Caenorhabditis elegans: one gene and its partner. The protein of the gene in region 1 purifies or fractionates together with the protein of each later gene. This does not show direct contact. Each region holds a gene or a part of one and is shown in the gene's direction. Other genes may lie near its edges. The genes, in order: ehbp-1 and rab-10.

Evidence for each region.
Region 2: the proteins of ehbp-1 (region 1) and rab-10 purify together in Caenorhabditis elegans (affinity purification with western blotting, with the first as the bait; 2 studies listed by BioGRID). This does not show direct contact.

What each region holds. Positions count from the first base shown.
Region 1 is NC_003283.11:9,548,634-9,556,793, forward strand, and holds ehbp-1 (EH domain-binding protein 1), read left to right. Parts: upstream 1-2,010; coding exon 2,011-2,085; intron 2,086-2,127; coding exon 2,128-2,192; intron 2,193-2,364; coding exon 2,365-2,819; intron 2,820-2,870; coding exon 2,871-2,999; intron 3,000-3,319; coding exon 3,320-3,539; intron 3,540-3,588; coding exon 3,589-4,276; intron 4,277-4,726; coding exon 4,727-4,892; intron 4,893-4,992; coding exon 4,993-5,070; intron 5,071-5,148; coding exon 5,149-5,208; intron 5,209-5,301; coding exon 5,302-5,363; intron 5,364-5,985; coding exon 5,986-6,105; intron 6,106-6,219; coding exon 6,220-6,375; intron 6,376-6,423; coding exon 6,424-6,737; intron 6,738-6,994; coding exon 6,995-7,112; 3' UTR 7,113-7,399; downstream 7,400-8,160. Other genes in the region: nstp-10 (GDP-fucose transporter), read right to left, coding at 1-175, 221-275, 322-407, 1,177-1,203; rgef-1 (Ras guanyl-releasing protein 3), read right to left, coding at 8,083-8,160.
Region 2 is NC_003279.8:6,456,596-6,460,167, reverse strand, and holds rab-10 (Ras-related protein Rab-10), read left to right. Parts: upstream 1-1,688; 5' UTR 1,689-1,695; coding exon 1,696-1,822; intron 1,823-1,877; coding exon 1,878-2,190; intron 2,191-2,267; coding exon 2,268-2,346; intron 2,347-2,716; coding exon 2,717-2,803; 3' UTR 2,804-2,886; downstream 2,887-3,572. Other genes in the region: mam-8 (MAM domain-containing protein), read left to right, coding at 3,242-3,449. UniProt on the Caenorhabditis elegans protein: The small GTPases Rab are key regulators of intracellular membrane trafficking, from the formation of transport vesicles to their fusion with membranes.

The sequences.
Region 1 (8,160 bases):
AAATCATAGCGACAAAAACGACAGAAAGAGGTAATACTTCTCGGCTGATTTTTGCATCAATTGGCATCGATGGGAATTTGAATAAACCATAAGCTTTTGATGTTTTACTGAGGAATAAACACAGAAATACGGTGACCAAACATTGATACCAAGTGATGAAAAGCGGAGCATCAAGCTGAAAAAAGAATAATTATTGATGTTCGAGAATTGAACAATTTACCTGCACACTAGACAGCAAATACTTGTTGAGAAACACTAATCCTATTGAGAAGACCCTGAAATTGGAAAATTTAGTTGAATAAAGAAACCTGAATAGCGTACCAATATGCTGAAACAGCTGTGATGACCTGCTTGTAACTCTCCCATTTGGTTGGATTCTCACGATTTCTCATAGCTTCGAAGAGGGCCTAAATTAGAATGAAACGTTTATGAATGGTAGTTAAGGCGGGAGGCAGGACAAACATAGAACGTGGAAAACGTAGAAATGGAAGAGGACGAGAAACAGGCAACACCCGACAACTAGGCCATTGTTGTCGAGTTAATTGCGGGCATTGCTGCCGCAGTTTCTGCTCGATTATTCAGCTTTCTAAGGTTTTAAAGAGTTTGAATTCGTATAAAAATTATTTATAATTAATTGAGACATTTGTAAAAGTTTAACAAAGGTGAAAAAGTAGTTTGTTCACAATAAAATTAACAATATCGTGAGTAATTCTTTACCTGCTTAAGAAATAATCAATATCGAAATCGGCTTTTAACTTTTTTAAAAATATAATTTAATTTTTTAATTTGTGAGAATACAAACGCATTTATGGAGGGAATTACCAAGGAAATAAAAGAAATAAAAGAAAAACCCCTCTGCAAAAATTATTTCGGAAAAAAAATGTTTTCAAACAGAATAACAATGTGCAAACACGGCCACGTCGAATTACACAATATTCTATTTACAGTAACGTGTCTGCGTTTTTGCGTGACTGTGAATGCAGACGCAAAAAGACGTAAACGTTTTTCACGGCCCGGCAAGTGGTACATCCATGCAAATGCGCTCTACTGATAATTGGAGTGTAGACCTCTCCAATTTTTTATATGCATCATAAAAAAATACCACTTCTCGGGCCGTGTTTTTTAGACCAATTTTTGAAAACGGTTTTTCAATATATTGTTGCAATAAATATCTACTTTGTTGTTTTCTTCATGCAGTTTCATCGTATTAAATTAATTTTTGTCAAACAATCACTGTGGTTATGCATATAGTTCTCGATCAAACCATTTATGTTCCTCACGTTTATTAAATATCGCATTTTCGATAGCTCCTCATGTTTTCTGAAAACGTTACTTAATGGTGTTTTCAGAATAAAAATTAACTTATTTATTCTGACTGCCATTTTTTGTTTATGGGAGAACACTTGAACTTCGACGGCGCGCTGAGCAGAGTTAGTGTAACGGGCGCTGGCAGCTGACTGATACATAACGACGAACACTCGAAAAGTAGCACTTGTAACTAAATGCTAAATCGAAAACCTACCGAGAGCGTGAGAGATGGCAAGAAGTGGCCATAAATCTTTGTATCGGCGGTCTCAAGTGACCAATCCAACTCGATCTAGTAACATTACACGATGCTCTACTGTCAGATTGTTTTTGTTATTCTCTCCTCTCCCTTTCAGTTTTACTAAATTTCTATTGTTCATTTTCTTTAAAATAATACAAATTCTTGTGAATCACTGGATAAAATAACATATTTCAGACCTTCTCTTTGGAGCTCCAAATGCTCTTTTCTTTTTACCTCTGTCACTCTCTTTTCCTTCTAGTCTATCGCCTCTCGCTCATTTTATCAAATCTTCTCGCCGCCGTTGTCGAATGAGGAGGAGGAAGACGGCTGCGCCCATTCCTCTCGGTTTCCGCCGCCTTTCCTTTCTTCTCATCTCCTCAAATATCCATTTCCGTACGACAAATCGAAAAGAAATTCTTCGCATTACGCACCTGATTACCATTGTTTTAACATATAAATTGCAGATGGCGGGTATTCTTCGTCGACTTCGGAGATCCAATAAGAAAGCTGCCAAATTTAGATTTACAGTTACTCTTCAGGTTCGTTCTTGATACTTTTATCTCAATTGTTTATTATTTTAGGAATTACATCTCTACACCGACGAACAATGGAAACCAGAAAACCTTGCAGTTTCTTTCGTTCATAGGTGAATACATTTTCTTATCAAAGAATAATAAATGTCAATCAGAAAATAGACACAATGCATCATGATCATTATGGAAATTTGAAAAAAAAAGAAAAATATTCACAAGAAAATAATACGAATCGAAAATAAATAAAAAATTGTTCATGAAACCTTTATCATACAATTTTTACAGACGACGAAAAGTATCATCAAAGGAACGAAAATGGGAAGAATGTTCGGACGCTAACAAATGTTTGATTATGTGGCCTGAGCAATTTTCAGAGAATATAGATATTCTTACAACATTATATCGTATTGCAAGTGATGAATATGAAGATAAAGAATGGACGATTGTTGTTGAAGAAGTAACTGCTAAAGGAAAAAGAAAAGCAATTGCAGCAGTGCCACTCAATGTTCGCTTATTTATTCTGGATCTACCCGATCATAAAAGTGAACTGAAGCTCAAGCTCCGTCCATTGACGCCTCATTTGAAATTGTGTTCCCTGATTATTCTTCTTGGAAGTTCTCTTATTTCGGAAGTAAATGCAGATGATGTTAGTATTACTTCGTCAGCTGCAGCCTCTTTTGTTGAAAAAGTTCCAGTAACAGATGAAGTTGATGCGAGTGCAAATGATTCCAGAGCAGCAGGTATTTTGATTGAAAAAATACAGTTTATTTCACATAATTTGTTTTTTTAAGCTGCAAGACAACAAATCGACACGACAGCTACAAAAATGATGGAATGGATCAAAGAGGAAAAGGAAATCGCTCCGCCTATTGTTCCAGCACACCGAAAACCTTCCGGAGAGAATGAAAACCCTGCAAAAGGTAATTAGAAATCGTTTTTTAAACCTAATCGTTAGAATTTTTGGCTAGAATATTTTCATGGAAAAAAGTCATATAGCCTAAATTCGTGTGTGGTCATCAAAAAATTTGTAGATTTTTTTCATTTTTTTTTCAAGGAACATCGAAAATCGAAAAAAAAATTCGAAAATTATCCAGAAAATGATATATCAAAATTTGTTTATGTTGATGAAGAAAAAGGATTAAAAAAACCAAAATAAATACTCGAAATTTTTTTTTTCAATTTTTCGGAAAACGAAAAATCGAAAAACCGACACCCGTGGCTCTTATAGAATGTATTTCAGTTCGTCCCCAATGGAGAGTATCAGCTGAAGAAGAAAAAACGTCACAACCAGCAGCTCCAGCGCCAATTGCAACCAACAGACATAGTCGGTCAAGCCGTGCTTCGACAGAAGAAAAAGCGTCTACAACAATAGAATTCCGTGTGGATTCCAATTCTCGGCATGTTCCAGTTACAGCAATCGCTACACCATATTATCTTCAAAGTGGAACAATGAGTAGAGGGTATTGTTTGGTTACTTTTCTCACAATCATAATTTTTTTTCAATTTCAGAAGATCAAATTCTCCGAGAGCTCCATCTAGAGATGCTGTCCCTCAACCGATCGATGGAGAGACTTTACTTTCATGGTGTCAGAGAGTTACTAACGGATATTCGCATGTAAAAGTTAATGATTTTATGAAATCTTGGAACAACGGATTGGCCTTGTGTGCAGTTCTTCATTCTTATCGCCCGGATCTCATTGGAGATTACGAAACACTGGATATCTCTAATAATATGTCTGGACGCATTTCGAATATTCAAAGAGCCCTCGATTCACTTACTTTGATAGGAATAACAGAAGTACCAACAGTTGATATGTTTCTGACTCCTGATCGGAAACAAATAGAATTTCTTCTTCAACATCTTCGCCGAATCTTTGAAGGATTTGACGAGGGATCTACACCAGCCAGTGCTTCTGATCACAGAATATCCAGAACATTTGGAATTAATGAATCCGAAGAAAAAGTTGTTGCCATGATTACAGAAATTCGAAATCAAAAAGATCTCGAAGAAGCTGTGGATTATAGACACATTCCTGATGAAGTTCCTGTTACACCACAGTTGGCTAGTCGCAATCCGGCTCTCAATCAACCAACTGACGCTGATGACGATGATGCTGAAACTTCAAATATGCGCTTTGAGAGAAGTAATGTAAGCATAACCATGGTGACTCCAGGAGTTGGAGCAATTCGTGCATCGGTGAGTTTTTATTGAAAAAAAAAATTTTAAAATTTTAAATATTTAGTTTTTGTTTTTTTGTTGAATTTCGAATTGAATAATGCTAATTATTTAAAATAGTTATTGAAATCTTTTTTCACTTCAATTCTACCATTTTTAAGATACTTTGTGTGTATAATATAACTGAAATTATAGGAAAAAAACAGGTTCTTTCAATCGTCAGATTTCTTGGTATATTTTCTTATTTTATTTTTTTAATGCAATTTATAAGGTTATACATAACTGAACATTTCCTACTACCATATAACAGCTTGATAAAAATTGCGACACAACTTAAAAAACTTATTAAATACTCGCCCTTATAAAACTCAATTACATTTGTTCCCAGCGAAATAGTCTAATCAATTCTTTTTCCTAATAGATATCCAATTTTACGAGATTCTTATTTTTGAAAATCTTTACAACTTTCAGAATCGTGCATCACCTTCAAAGCGAGATGAACTACGCCAAAGAGCACGTGATTTAATTGAAAAATCAACAACTCCTGCAGCAACACCAAATTCACGGAAAGCGAGTGATGAAGAGAGAAGACGCGAAGAGGTCAGACGGATGCTGAACGAAAAGCAGCATCCAACGGGTGAGAAGTTTTTAAAAACACAAAAGTTGTCGTGATTCTCTATAGTAATCTCCTTTGTTGTGATTGTTTTAATTATTTCTACCGTGTGTTCCCATTTCAGCAATCCCCTCTACTTCATCATCACCATATCCCACTTTCCGTCGTATCGATGGATCAAATACCGATCTTCGTCGTATTGGTTTGTAACATTTTCAGATCATGCTCCGATTTAATTGTTTTAGTGTTGTGACAAAGCATGTAGTGAATTTATTTTCAGAACTCGATGTACACAAGTTCAAGAAACGTGATCCATCTCCGACGCTCGTCCGCAAACAATGTACATTTTATTATTTCCTCATAGTGCAGTGATTTTTAACATGTCAATTGCATTATTAGGAACAATTTCATCTTAATTTTGTTTTAATTACAGACGATCCCAATGATACTCCTCATGTGCCAGCAATTGGTCGTGGCAGAACAAATGGAAATCGGGTCAGTCATTAATATATTTAAATTCTCGGCATTTCGTGCCTACTTTCTCCCACCTTTTCGCCTTCCGGCAAAAAGGTGGGAGAAAGAAGACGCGAAATGCCGAGTTAACAGTTTAATCCCGAATAGAGCATTATTGGCAACACCGATTCAGGAAAAATATGTGTACCTTTAAAGATACAGTTACTTCAAATCCTCGTTGGTGAGGTATTTTCATAGATTTTTCATAGTTTTTCGATAAAACTTTTTTTTTTATAAAAAACTAAAATAAAACAATAAAACACACATAAATTTAAAAAAAAACTATGAAGAATCGATGAAATATCGACAAATACGAGAGCTTGAAACCTTGCGTCAAGACCAGCTACCGTATATTTTGTCGCAAACTATTTTGTCAGTGTAATAAGTTGTCTGATTTTCAATTTTAAACATTTGAGTATTATTTTAAGCTTTAAATATGAATGTTGTCAATTAGCTGTCAATACCACTAGCAATCCTCATTTCTATCTAACCATAATTTTTCTTTCGTCGATATTATCTTTAGTTCTTCTCTGTTCTATATTTTCTTTTTTATCATACACCGCATTGTACAGTATGCCTAACAAGTGTTTTGCTCACATTTCAGAACGATTCATCAACTCCTTCATCAGCTTCTACATTTGATCGTGTCAAGAGATATGGGAGTATGCGTAGTGCAGAATTGAAAGAATCGTTGCAGTTGATGGCGAAACAATACGGATACATGGTTTGTGATGTTGTAAAAAGTGTAATGTAATGATTTTTGCTTCTATTTTAATCAACATAAAATTTAATCATGGGTGCAAATTGAAAGTTACCGTCTAAATGTTATTATTTTTAGGGAAACGATTTCGAATCATCTTCGCAAGACGCTCTGGCGACACCAACCAAAAAGTTCTCTTCCCAATGGGAAAAAGACGTCGATGACGTTGAAGGAACCGCCAATGAGCTTGTTCGTATTGACGAACGTATATCGGATATTACAGCACAAGCCGATGTAAGATTCTGAGAATTAAAGGATTAATTCAGTTTGTTTTGTTTTCAGGTTATTCAAGACAAGATCCGTGAAACAGAAGTTGGAAGTTCAGAAGAAGAAATGTTGACTGCATCATATCTTGAGTTGACAAATGAACGGAACACTCTTGTACATCGACAGGAATACTATAATATCATTGAGACAATTCGTCAGGTTACTTCGGAAATTGACCAATTGGGAAAACAAATCAATGAAGTTCCTGATGATTTCCCTCGTTCTGATGAGAATAAGACGGCAACGGATAAACTGATTGAACAATATAGTGATGCTATGAAAACAAAAAGTAACTTGGTTCAAAAGTTATTTGCAACTGAGGACGAAATGTAAGTGTTTATTGCTTTGTTGAACCACGTGGTGTCAGGCTGTCCCATCACGGTTTGATCTACAAAAAATGCTGGAATTTTTCGCCTAAGAAAGTGCCGTCAGCACGTTCTTAACCATGCGAAATCAGTTGAGAACTCTTCGTCTCAACTTCCGAATTTTTTGTAGATCTACGTAGATCAAACCGAATGGGACATTCTGACACCACGTAATAAACTACTTTCAGTGAAACTAATGAAACAACATTCGAAATTTTCAGCGAAGAAGATTCGGATCGTTTGAAGAACCTTACTTTGGATAGGGCTACTCGCTTTGTTCGTGGAATAGATCAGCCTGTTTCAGCATCGAAGCGACTTATTCAATGGTGGCGCCGTTAATACGCTTCAACGTTATTTATTACTCAATTTAAAACTACGGGTCTTCTTCTCTTTCTGAAAACAAAGTTTCTCCCAGTGTCCCTTTGTTATCTTCTATCATTTTTTCTCCTTTCCATAATTCACTCTTTCCCGTTTTTTTGGCAAATTTTTAGGAGTTAATCAAAACATCAAATTTTTCTCTATCTTTTCATCTCTATGTGTATATTTTTGTATTCAGTTTTCTTTTCTCTCGGTGCACACAAATCCAAATGCTTTCAGCTTTCAATAAATCAATTCAGAGTTTTAAATGATGTTCAGCAAAAATTCATTCGAAAAAAGAGGAAAGTGTGTGGAAGACTGGTGAAAAATACTTTACACGTGGAAATATTTAGCGTAGAGATCAAACAAGTGGGATAGGAAAAAGCAAGCTCGAATTGTGAGGGAATGTACTGAAAGAAAAAACAAATAAATTTGAGAAATTGAGTGATATGGTTAAAAAATGAATCGCATTTTGCAGGAAAAAATACTCGTATGCATTAATTTGAAGAAAAATAGATGAGAAGAATAAACTTAATATTGTACTCTCATATTACGAGAACACTAAATCCTGAGAAGGCGTATTGCGCAACATATTTGACGCGCAAAATATCTGACCGAAAACTACAGTAACTTTTTAAATGACTACTGTAGTGCTGGTGTCGATTTACGGGATCGATTTTCACTTATGTTCGAATTGCGACAGTGATATTCAGTTTTTCGTATTGTTTTGTCATTTTTGTGTTTCTTTTAATATTTAATCGATTAATAAAATGTTTCCGTAAATCGACACTAGCGCTACGGTATTCATTTAAAGTGTTACTGTAGTTTTCGCTACGGGATATTTTGCGCGTCAAATATGTTGCGCAACACGCATTCCCAGAATTCAGTGTTTGTGTAATATATTCTTGCTAAAAATAAAGAGAGTGCAGAGAAAGAGATAGATGGAGACAAATCAGGCGGTACGGTATGACGCAGATGAAATATCTGCTAGATCATCATCTTCGAAGACTTCTTCACAAGCAAGGCTTAC
Region 2 (3,572 bases), on another chromosome or scaffold:
ATACTTTTCCAGCTAAATTGAAGGTTAAAAAGTATACCATAAAAACATATCGATTCCAGGATCAAATTATTCCATGCAGCATGGAATGTGAAAAAACTTCAGATGATTCTGAAAAGTCATAATTTTCGATTCGTTAATTAATTTCGTTAATATGAAGTTAATTCTAAATAGGTGGGAAAAAACTATTATTCAAATTTTCATGAACAGATTAGCTTGAAGTTTTGTGAAAAGGTTTTAATATTAATTTTCGCAATAATTTTGTTTTAAACTCAGAATGATTCATGCCGCTTGAACTTTTTCTTTTCATTTTTTGTTGAACCTTCTCCCACCGGAAACATAAAAACACATGATCCAACTACCACCACTAAGCTGTCAACACTTTGCCCTTTGCTTTCGCCAAGCTCTTGTGAAGCAGCTCATGTCTTTTTTCTTTTTCATCCTTCCAACAACGCGCGCTCTCTCTCTCTTTCTCCGTCTCTATTCCTTTTCTCGTTGTCTCGGTTCCATCGATCTCCCATTCAACATACGGCCGAGGCGCCCTCTCTTGTCTGTATCTCTGGTCTCTCTATCATCTAGAGAATGAGTCCTTTTCTTTCTCCACCATCTCATCAAATTAAACGTCTATTTCGGGGGTTTTGTCTATCTAGTAGAGGTCCAACCACACTAGCCTTCAAAAATTTCACCACGCCCAATGCCCTCCACCACTGAGAATTGACCCTTGTCAACAACCTTGTCTTCTGAATTTTTGATGACAGAGGCAACGGCTTCTTTTGATTTTTGAAGTTTTGAGATTGCGACTTCCTTTTCATCATTGACTCATTTTTTTCGATAATCAAAAATTATACACTACGAGGGAGCGATGTTCTCTTTAATTTTTTTTTGCTGTAGCTTCTTTTAATTTTCAAAACAATTTATCAAAACATAGCTTTCTGAAATCACCCTGAAATTTCAGCTGAAACTTATTATTTGAAAAAATATTAGAAATGTATTTTTTAACTTCAAAAAATCTAGCACATTTTGATATTCACCTATCATAATTATGAGTTAGTGTTCCTATTGTTTTTATATCAATTAATATGTTCATTTCTGTTCCTAAAATATTTCATCACAAATTATTGAAAAATCACAGTTTCTTGAACATGTCGTTCACATTTTATTCCTTATCACTTCACACATCTCATGCCATCTGATAACGTACTTTGCATTACAAAATTGCAAAGTTCACCATTCAATTTCAAATAAAAAGCACTTTCGATCAATAAACGTCCACCTGTACCCGTTTTAGATTCGCTTCCTTTCCAAATAACAATTATAATGATCTCTTTGTGTTTTCGTGACCCGCAGAGGAAGCCAGCAGCTGCTGTTCACCTTTTCCCGAGAATTTCCCAGAAACAGCTAATCGATGTGATTTGCGCATGCACGCGTTAATAGCTCCGTTCAAATTTTTTTTTGTTATAATGGAAACAACAATTAACTATTTTGTCCTGTTTTTTCTTTGACAACATTTTATGACAAAAACCTAATTTTGGAAAACTAGAAAAAAATTAGAAAGTTCTTCCAAATATCTTCCAATTGTCAACTCTTGATAACTTCTTCGAAATCTCAAAGTGTTCGTTCTATTTGCCATGACTCAAGTGCTTTTCTCTTACTTTTGTGCAACTTTAGTTCTCAACTTTTTCTCATTTCAGAAGAAAAATGGCTCGCCGACCGTATGACATGCTCTTCAAATTGCTGCTAATAGGCGACTCAGGAGTTGGAAAAACTTGCATTCTGTACAGATTTTCGGATGATGCCTTTAACACCACATTCATCTCAACTATTGGTTAGTTTTTATTCAGAATCTAGTGATTTCAAAATAATTTTCTTTTTTCATTCAGGAATCGACTTCAAAATTAAAACTATCGAATTAAAAGGAAAAAAGATTAAATTACAAATCTGGGACACAGCTGGACAAGAACGATTCCACACAATCACAACATCATATTACCGCGGAGCAATGGGAATTATGCTGGTTTACGATATCACAAATGCGAAAAGTTTTGACAATATTGCAAAGTGGTTGCGCAATATTGACGAACATGCATCGGAAGATGTTGTTAAAATGATATTGGGAAATAAATGTGATATGAGTGATAGACGAGTTGTGAGCAGAGAACGAGGAGAGAAGATCGCACAAGATCATGGTATTAGGTACGTTTTGGGAGATTAAAAAGGATTAAAAAATAAAAAAATATATATATATAATCTCAAACAATTTTTATTTTCAGCTTCCACGAGACTTCAGCTAAATTGAATGTTCACGTCGATACAGCGTTTTACGATTTAGCAGAAGCAATTCTGGCTAAGGTAAAGTTTTAAAATGTTTTTAAAAATTAAAATTAAGGATGTGAAAATTCGAAATATATTAGTACATTCTTTGCACGGGCGAATATATGTTCTGATAGTATTGAAATCGACGAAAATGTGATAATTAGATTGCTAAATGCATTAGAATCTGATTTTTTCTTGTGAAATTGTTCGTAATTAGTTGAAAAATCTAAGAGCCTTTTTATTTTTGTCCTCATTACTCTTCTAGTACAAAATATGAAGAGCGAAACTTCTTCGTTTTTAATCATGCAAAAAATTTTAATCGCTTCGTCAAAAATTGCACCAGAATAATCTAAATTAGTTTCATTAATACGATTGTTTTTTTTTCATAATTTGTTTTTATTTTCAGATGCCTGATTCCACTGACGAGCAATCCCGCGATACGGTGAATCCAGTGCAACCACAGAGGCAGAGTAGCAGTGGAGGATGCTGCTAGATTCATGTTTTTCCCTCTTACTTCTCTATTCTCCAATTTGGTTTTGTAAATGTTTCATCCGGGTATTCATGAATTTGAATGTCAATACATCTTTTTTGCTTCTTCTTCTTTCCCCCTCATTTTTTTTCGAATTTTTGCCTCACATTCTTCCCTTCTAGGAAACATTTTCTCCATTTCCACTTACCTGTTCTAACTAATGATCGTTTAAATATGTTCTCCATTTCTTTCAATTTCCCTCCCCCTTTTACTTTTCTTACAAATCTTCTCGTGCGCAGAGACTTAATAAAATAAATTGCTCTTCTTCCACATGCTAACTAGCCATCTTTACCTTCATTGCTTACTCTTGTATAATTGACATGTCCTCCCCCTCCCCCCGAAAACCGGTCACTTGTTGAATATCCAACGAGGTCACTCTAACCAACTTCAGGATTATGACAGATGACACCGTTCAACGCAATGCTTTTCAAAATTATCTACCTAGTAGTACTACCTATTTCTTACTGTACGGAGTTATGTACATTCAACGAAGGAACCTGTGAATGGGATATCAGACCTCCGTGGAATGTTGTCTCGTTGGCAATTCTTCCACGTCATCAGCATCCTGGACTACTAAATATTTCAAAGACACCCGATGTTATCACTTCTGGTGAGAAATTAAATGTATTTTCTAATGTCTTCTAGACTACATCTCGTGTATAGCATGTTCACTATTAAATCGAAATGACTAAATACATTGGCCGATCGGAGAACCTGAAATTTAGCTTCAATG